2 linked regions of the Canis lupus familiaris genome follow. The main gene of each other region encodes a partner of the protein of the gene in region 2 in a complex. Links are inferred from orthologs where the notes say so. Each region holds a gene or a part of one and is shown on either strand. Other genes may lie near its edges. The genes, in order: BET1L and STX7.

The links.
Region 1: STX7 (region 2) and BET1L share a complex: the UniProt entries of both Homo sapiens proteins name them as parts of the SNARE complex. The link is inferred for Canis lupus familiaris from reciprocal best matches to the Homo sapiens genes STX7 and BET1L.

Annotation. Positions count from the first base shown.
Region 1 is NC_049239.1:25,711,044-25,715,601, forward strand, and holds the start of BET1L (BET1-like protein), read right to left. Parts: upstream 3,088-4,558; 5' UTR 3,000-3,087; coding exon 2,981-2,999; intron 2,421-2,980; coding exon 2,329-2,420; intron 2,126-2,328; coding exon 2,069-2,125; intron 1,948-2,068; coding exon 1,780-1,947; 3' UTR 1-1,779. Other genes in the region: RIC8A (synembryn-A), read left to right, coding at 4,281-4,364. UniProt on the Homo sapiens protein: Vesicle SNARE required for targeting and fusion of retrograde transport vesicles with the Golgi complex. Required for the integrity of the Golgi complex.
Region 2 is NC_049222.1:25,723,550-25,727,960, reverse strand, and holds the start of STX7 (syntaxin-7), read left to right. Parts: upstream 1-1,397; 5' UTR 1,398-1,531; intron 1,532-1,865; exon of another isoform or gene 1,866-2,085; intron 2,086-4,411. UniProt on the Homo sapiens protein: May be involved in protein trafficking from the plasma membrane to the early endosome (EE) as well as in homotypic fusion of endocytic organelles. Mediates the endocytic trafficking from early endosomes to late endosomes and lysosomes.

The sequences.
Region 1 (4,558 bases), on a different chromosome or scaffold from region 2:
AGGTGGGGAGGCAGGACAGTGTGCAGCCGTGGGCTGTCTCGAGGGGACAGCAGAAAGCACTTGTCAAGACTACCCGAAACACAAAACCTAAACCAGCCCACATCGACCCCGTAGTCTGGTGTGTCTCTCACAGCTGAGGCATGTTCTCAGGGAGAGGTCAGCAGCACAGGCCCAGGGAGGGGGGGGGGACGCAGGCCACGGGTGCACCTGCCGTGTGGCCAGATGGACACTGCAGGCTCCATTAACCTTGGTGACCAGCGGACGTGTCCCGGTGGCAAGACAAGACGTAGCAGGAGACCACCAGAGAGCTAACTCAGATCCACGGTGTGTACGTGGCGACTGCGGAGGAAAGACCACAGGGCCCGAGAGGGAACGTCGAGTCAGGGACACAGCAAAGCTCCACAGGCAGGGAGGCCAGCTGACCTCCCTGGATGAGCAACTAGCATCTGGAGGCTAAGGGCACTCAGAAGATGAGGCCGAGCAGCCCAATAGCTGCTGTGCAGGAGATAAGGAAGCTATGATGACCACGTGCCAAACTTGCTGCAGGGACAAGGGCAAGAGAGGGGAGGGAGGCAAGGAGAACACAGAGCAGCGGCAGTGCTGAAGGGGAGGCGCCCAGGGCCAGAGAACGGAGCTGATGTGTGGTCGGCGCACGTGTGATCACCCACGGGATGAGGGGGGGAATGGGCGGACAGCAAACCAAGTTGTCCTCTGGGAGGAAGGGGGAGCGACTGGGCTGGCAGAGGATCGGAATATAGGGGAAGGAACCGGGGAGGACACAGCTAGCAAATCATTTCTTATGTGTCTTCATGCACATACGAGGGTGCGGACGCCCAGCTGGGCCTGCACTTTGTGGTTTGTGTGAACATGGGGCTGGCCAAGCGGGCAGTGAGGGCTCAAAGAGAGGCCAGGGATGAGGCAATGATGAAGAGTCCCCTTATTCAGGGAATACTCACTGCTGAAAGGCCTCACATGGTGGAGGGGAAGCTGCCCGGTGACCCCTGGGTCTTATAAAACTTGTTAGGGAGCCCTCTCGTCTTGACCACAGAGGTGCTGCACCCCCACCCCAAACACACAGACAGAAACCCTTCTAGAGCTCCCATCTCTGGTCTCCCAGAAATACGTCTTTGGTGTTAGGTAGATCCTGAGTTCCTGCTCCTGAATACAAGACTGTGGATCCAGAAGGATCAGGGCCCAGTGCCTCTGGCCAAGGTTGAAGTCCACTTCTTCATCCACAACCCCCTGCCCTTCTCCGAGGGTCTGGGGGGCAGACGTGACCTCGGGGCGGAACCCCTGGCGCAGACCTGCCCATGTTCAGCAGCCCTACCGAGTAGCTGCTCCTCTGAACAGAGCAGATGGTGCTCAAAGTTCATAACCGAACCCCCTTCCTGTGTCAGCTCCAGGCTGCTCACGTATCGGACGTGACCTTACCCAAAGCCTCAAGACGTCGAAGCCCCAGGGGACAAGGAAGGGCTGCTGGCCACAGGTGGCCACGTCGAGGATTCACACCCAGCTCTGCCAGGGCCTCCACACCCCGAGTAGCACAGGGGCTGGGGCTTGGTGTCCCCAAGGGAAGGAGCTGCACTGCATGGGACCAGCCAACAGGAGCTCACTTGGGCGCAGGCAGCCGTCAACTCCCAGGCACACAGCAAGAAAACTCCCAGGCCGGGATCCCCCTTTCAAAGGAGTATTTTGCAGGTAGGTCCTCAGGAGCCTAGGCCACCAGGCGGGGGAAGACCCTGGTTGCCCCTGCACCCACAGAAGTCGGCTTCTGGTGGCTCACGTCCTTGCCCTTGACAGAAGGTAGGAGAGGATGAAGAAGACCACGATCAGGCCCAGGGCCATGCCACACAGAAGCTTCCGGTTGTCTCGCCCGGACCTCGCCATGGTGGAAAAGCGCTTCACGCTCCCCGTGAGCAGGCCTGTCATGCTAGTGAAATCCGAGTCCTGAGGGAGGAATCCCAGCAAGGTCACACAGGGCGGCGCCTCCACGACTGCCACGCAGGTGCCGCAGCGCCACCAGGGCCTGCCCGAGCGGCCCGCGCCCCGCGCCGACGGAGCCCCTTACCATGCTGTCCAGGTACCGGTTCTGGTCTTCTGCGTCCCTGTCGATGTCCAGGGCCAGCTGCTCAGAACGCGGGGCGGGGGGCAAGGTCAGGCCAGAAAGACTCGGTGGGTCCCGCCCGCGAGGCCAGCGGACCCGCCAACACCCGCCGGCGGGATCAGGCCGGGCCTCCCCGGGCCTCAGACACCAGCGCCCCGAGGAAGCCCGGGACCCTCCCCAGCCTCTGCCCTCCTGTCCCCGCTCGCAGGGAGGACCGCACTGACCGACTTAAGCCTGGTGACCTTGGAGGCCAAGCTGTCGGCCATCCGCTTGTTCTCCCGGTCTAGAATCTCCTCCACGGCCGCGGGGCTCTGGGCTGCGAGAAGGGACAGTCTGAGCCTAGGACCGCAGGCGCGGAGGCCCCGGTGAGGGGGGCCGCGGCCCCTGCTCGGCCCCCGCGCTGCCCCGGGGCTCCCTCCGTCCTGCGGACAAGCCAGGGGCCGCGGCCGGGGCCGGGGCGCGAGCGCGGACAGCCCGCGGAGGACGGCGCCCGGGGGTGGGCCCGCGCTGGGAGGCAGTCACCCGGCGGGGCCGCTCGGAGCAGCACTGGCGCGGGCGCGGCGGCCCCGCAGGTCGGCCGGCAGCCAAGGCTGAGCAGCGCAGGCCCGAGGCCCCCGCACCCCGCGCGGCCCGGGGCGACCCCGACCGTCGGCCACCGCCCGGGCTCGGGGCGCGGACGTGCGGCGGGCCGGACGCCCCGATGGCGGGCCCGGGTGCGCACGAAGGCCGAGGCGGGCTGTCAGCGTCCCGCCGCCCGCCCTCGGCTCCTGCCGCCCCTCCCGGGGAGACCAGGGGCTCTGGGGCACGCGAGGGGCCCGCCCGCCGGAGGCCCCGGGCGGAGCAGCCGCGGCCCCCCGACCCCAACCCGCCGCTCACCCCGCGCCCAGTCCGCCATGGCGCCCGCCCCCGGCCCCGTCCCCGGCCCCGCCCCGCCAGCGGCCCAGCCACCGCCTCAGCGGACGTGGCGCAACCGGGGAGGACCGGGACCCCGCCGCTTCCGCTCTGCCCGCCGACTTCCGGCCGACGTCCGGCCGACTTCCGGACTAGGGGGGCGGGCCTTAAGTGCCGAGGACGCGTGACAGACGCCGCCAGCGGCCAATGGCGCGGAGGGCGGGGCCGGGTCCCGCTCCGGGCGTCCCCGCTTTCCCCCGCGGGCCTGGCTGCTGGGGTCGCCGCGGGTCCCCGCCCCAGGCGTTGCCGAGGGGACGCGGTGGAGGCCAGGGCCTGGAAGACGCAAGGGTGACGCACTCCGAAGGGAAGCGAAGCCAGACGGGGGCCGGGAGTGTGGGGGCAGCAGAGGCCGTAGCGGCCGGTGCCTCTTGCCTTGGTCCCGGCGCCGCGGGAACGGAGGCGGCCCACAAAGGCTGGCTGCACGGCGGGCACCGCTGCGACCACACACACGGGAGAGGGAGCTCAGTCCAGGCCACACACCTGGGACGTGGCTGCCGGTGATCCTGACCCTCCCCGCCCTCCCCTGGAGCTCAGGGACATGTTTGCGTCCCCGCCGCGGCCACCGAACGACCTTCCCCCGGATCCCTTCTTATCGTCCGGCCTCAGCAGAAATGCTACTTCCGCACATCCCTTTGCAGCCCACTTTATTCGCCACAGCGCTGAGACCGCTGCCCGTGGCTCCTTGCCCTCACGTGCGAGCTCACGCTCCCAGAGGGCCGGGAACCAGCGGTCGGCGGGTCCCGGGGCCGCAAAGTCCTTCCCACTTCGCTTTTCCCCCGGACTTGCACTGGTGCTAGGCATCTAGGGGGGCGTGCGTGGGAAGGTGAGTGGGTCCCCGTTAGCTTCGGAGGCCGCTCAGCTCCGAGGTCGAAAAATCACCTAGTAGGACCTTTGAAACTCGCGCTCACTCCCCGGCAAAACACTCAAGTCCCAGCCAGCTGATCCAGGTCTCGCCCCCTTAATGAACCTACAGCCCTGGCCCCGCCCCGCGGCGCGCGCTCCCAGTCCCGGCATGCCGCGCGCGCAGCCCTGGCCCCGCCCCGCGCGCTCCCAGTCCCGGCCTGCCCCGCGCGCAGCCCTGGCCCCGCCCCGCCCCGCCCCGCCCCGCGCGCTCCCAGTCCCGGCCTGCCCCGCGCGCCCAGTCGGGGCGGAGCGGCGGAACTCCGCCCGGAGCCGGGAAGCAGCTCCCCTTCCCGCCGGCTCGGCGCGGGATCCCGGAGGCGCCATGGATCCCCGGGTGGTTGCGGATGCCGTGGAAGCGGGCGAGGAGGACGTGATCATGGAGGCTCTGCGCACGTACAACCGGGAGGTGAGCGCGAGCCGTGAACGTGCTTGCACGGAAGAGGTGGGCCGGGCGGGGCTCGCGTGTGCGGACCCGGGCCTGCGGGCTGCGGGCGGCGGGCGGCGGGCGGCGCGCGGCGGAGGGGCCGGGGTCTGCGCGCACCTTGGGGGACGGGGAGAGGCGGGGGGGGTGCGGGCGCCCGCGGCGGCCGAGCCCGCTGA
Region 2 (4,411 bases):
TTTCAGTTCCTTTAATCTATTTCCCAAATGAGGAAGTAGAACTAGATTTTCTGTAAGTCCTCCTCCAGCTTTTTTCGTTTGTTTTTTTTTTATACTTTATAGCTGAAACTATTGCCTTATAGAAGCTGAAATACTTTATCTGAGCAAATAATGCTTTCTAAAAGTTTAAGAATATTGAAAAAAGGGATTTCACATAAAAATCTGAATTTCCGAAAGTCTGCAATCAGTGCTAACTGAATCATGCTGCCTTTATTTTTTTAAAGATTTTATTTATTTATTCAGGAGAGACACAGAGAGAAAGGGGCAGAGACACAGGCGGAGGGAGAAGCAGGCTCCATGCAGGGAGCCTGATGCGGGACTCAATCCCAGGTCTCCAGGATCACACCGTGGGTGGTGCTAAACTGCTGAGCCACCCAGGCTGTCCTCCTGTTTCCTTTAGAAGGAATGAATTTCTTTTGCTTGGCCAGCAGACCCACTCTATTGCCCCCCTTTTAGAAGCAGAATAAAGGTGGCTGTCTATTAAAACACTTGTACTGCAGTTTACTTCAGGAAAGATGTGAAATAGGAAATATTTCTGGTTCCCCTTTTTTCTGTTAAAAACAGAACAATTAAAAACAAACTGAGAGACCCTTGTGTTTCTTATTCCTGTCTGACCTCACTCTCTTAGGCACATATGTATGTACACTACTAAACAACCTAGAGTTGGCTCAGATGGTACCAACTCAAGACATTTCGTTTTGATTTTTTTCACCTAAGTGCATCTGGACATTTCATGTCCTGATGATCCTTTCAGAATAATAGTGTTGCCTTAATACAGGCAAAGGCCAACCCATTCTATCTTCTAATTAATTTGCTGAGTATTTCTTTCACCCAATGCAACTGATGCATTTATCTAACAATTACATTATGTTTTAATAGTTACCAGTAGAACATTCTCTGCTTTTTTCAAACCCTGCTGAAACAACACTCTACCCTTCAAGGATGCTTGGAACGACGTGCATGTGCTATGAAAACTAGTCTACTAAATGGGCACACGAAGGTGACTCTTCACTTATGCTGTCTTTGTTCCTGCTAGCATTGCTTATTTGCGTTACCATTTTTTAATGGAGCTGTGGATACGTTCCACTGCAGAGTAAGGACAGGCTGGGCAGGCCCTGATGGGGCAGGCTGAAGGCGTGAGCCTGGGGGGGCCGCCATCACCCGATCAGCGCAGCTGCTCTCCATTCCCTCCTCTGGTTTTTTGCCGTCTGTAAGGCTAGGCCTCGAAAAACACCTCCTTTGCAAATTTTTTTTGGTCCCCCGCCCCCATTCCTTAGCCCAGACTCGGAGGGGGCGGGGCAGAATGGTTGTCACTCAAGCCCATTGGCCAACGAGAGGGGGACGAGCCCCTCCTCCTCCCCAGAGCCGGGTCGCGGGCATGCGCACTGGGCGTCCCAGTGCCACCGCCCATCAGCTGAGAACCGTAGCTGGGGGTCGGGTGCCGGTGGGTGCGGCTGGCCCGAGGAGGAGGAGGCGGCGCGGAGGAGCCGGGGTAAGAGCAGCCTGGGGGGCGGGGGGTCGGATCCCGCGTTCTTGAGGCACTAAGTCCCCGCGGCGGCCGCGCCTCCTCGTCTGTGCGCGTTGCCAGTTGGCCGCCGCCTTACGCTTTGCGGCTGTGGTCGGGAGCCCGGGGGGGCGGGCGCTGCCCAAACCGGGAGCGCCGCCGCGGTCCGCGCCCCGGCCCATCCCGCCCCCCCCCCGGCGCATCCCGCCCGCCCCGGCCCATCCCGCCGGCCCCGCGCCCGCCGATCCCGCGAGCGCTGGCTCCGGTGCCCCCGCGGGTTGCGCGCCCCGGGGCGGGGCCGGCTGGGGCGGAGCTCGGGAGTCCTGCTGCTGCTGCCCGGAGCGGGTCACCGAGCGGTCGCTTCCTCTTTACGACGCATGGAGTTAGAAAACACATTTTAAAGCTCTCTTCCCTAACACAGAGGAACTGAAACTGGATGGCTCGAGAGTAAAGGAACCGTGTAACATCTGTCCCTTCGGAGGCTCCTTGCGGTTGGTTTTCTGTCTGGCTTCAAGACACGCTACCTTTTCTTTGATCTCAGTGTATGTCATTAATGATTTACCCAAAACCTTTAAGAATGTGTAAAGTATTTCAAGATCCGCCTCTCCTCCCCCCACCCCACCCCCCCTTATTGTGTTTTAGGCTGTTGCTTTTTAAAAATTCAGACACAAAGAAAAATACCTTTCTGGTCAAATGCTATATATTTTTTCCCTCTCCGGTTTCGTGTATTTGCTTGGCTTTCCTATAGATACATTGATTTTTTTGTTTGATTTAGATCAGTGTCTTTTGGCTATGACTATATATAATTTAAAACTTTCACAGAATCTGGAAGAAAATGATTCTGAAGGGCTCTGTTGTTGAGTAATGTTGCAGGTGGACATTTTTTCAGGAGCCTTAGCCTCACCCGGGCAGGGCAGGGGCTTGTAGCAGTGTTCAGCCGTGTCTTGGGATGTGGACCGCCTTGCATTGAAGGCCGCTTTGGGAAGTTTGTCTCAGACGGTGACTAATTAAGAATTATGGTCTAGTTTCAGACTTTCCATAGATGTTAAAATGATACCACAGTACCTCCGAATGTCTGCATCATTTTCCTTCAGATGTTTTACTTCTGCTGCTCCCAGTGGTAGAGTTATATCCTCATTTTAGTTAGGATATCAAACTTTAGCCAAGATCTAAGGATGGAAAAATAAATATATAAAACATCTGCAGTAAGTCTGAGTAAAGTTTGCTGCGATTCCATTTAATTTTAAAGTTTAGTGTATGGAAGGGTGAAAAGTAACCCTTGGTATTGTGAGTAAAACCAAATAGTATAAAAATTTAACAGATGGGGATGCTGAGCTAAAGAATTCGGTTAATTTGGTTTAGATAGAGAACACTCATGTCTATCATGGAATGATCGTCTCCCCATTCATGGAACATCCACTATGCGCCTTATACTGTGGACTCTGCAAGGTTGACAAGGTTGTCTTGTGTTTATATCACCAAAGTAGGAATAGAAGGCAATTTACTACCTAGATCATTTTAGAGTGGTGAGTAGCATGATGATAAAGGAAGTTAGATCAACAGAGAGTGCCGGGGTGGTAACTTCTCATTGCAGATCCGAAGTCACCAAAGACTTACCTAGCATGCCATGAGACTTTGCTTGTATAAAGGTGCCAGTCATGTGAAGATCATGGGAAGAGCCTTCCAGGGATAGGAAATGGCACTCAGCAAAGGCCCTAAGGCAATAATAAGCCCAGTACATTTAGGATCTGAAAGAAGACACTGGAATGTAGTGTCTGAGGATTGGTAATGTTTATTCTCAGACTAGGTTTGTGTTCTTAGGAAATAGACACATTTATTCATTCAGTCTTCAGATATTTGTTAAACACCTATTACATAACCCAGTACTTAGACTAATGTAGCACACAGACAAAACCTTGCTCTTCTGGGTACTTATATTTTGGGGTAAGGGGTAGAGTTAAGTCCATTGTTTTATGCCAGTACACACTATTAAGAAGGTGAAACTGACTATTTCTATTGCTCTATCCATGCTTGATTTATAGAGCATGAGATTTATGTTTAATGAGAGTCTTAGGATTCTGCAGTGTGTACAGTAGTAGTACCTGGGAGTAGTGCTTGACACAACTTTTCACAGTTTTCTTTGTTCTTTTATTTGTGCTCTACAGAAAGTCTTGAGAATATCCTTGTTATGAGTATTGCCCTTTTTTTTTTTGTTTTTTGTTTTTGTTTTTTTTATTTATGATAGTCACAGAGAGAGAGAGAGAGAGAGGCAGAGACACAGGCAGAGGGAGAAGCAGGCTCCATGCACCGAGAGCCCGACGTGGGATCCCGGGTCTCCAGGATCACACCCTGGGCCAAAGGCAGGCGCCAAACCGCTGCGCCACCCAGGGATCCCCGAGTATTGCCCTTTGATCCTCTCTTTCTTTCTTTCCCTTTACAGTGCTTATATATTTTCATAGAAATGTAATTGTTAAGATGTTTACATAAGCACTATTCAGTAGAACTTTATGCTGTGATGGAAATGTTTTACATGAACTATACAAATCATTGGCCTCACATGTGATTTTTGAATACTTGATAGAGCAGGTATGGATAATGAGTTATGTTATTCTGAGCAATAAAACTAGGAATTCTGAATGAGCTTTCAAAAATATTCGTCAAGAGTGCTTAAAGCTTGTTATATCTGGGCTAGGTGCTGGAGACTGGTGTGGACAGCAGCTATCAGAATAACTTGGTTTATTCTGGTCTATATGCAAAGATTATAAACTTTTAAGTCATTTTATAGTTAGCTGTAACTATAGTGTATCTGTGTATATGTTTTTGCAGTAAAGTCAGTCATTTGACTCCTTTTTTTCATATTTCATCAAA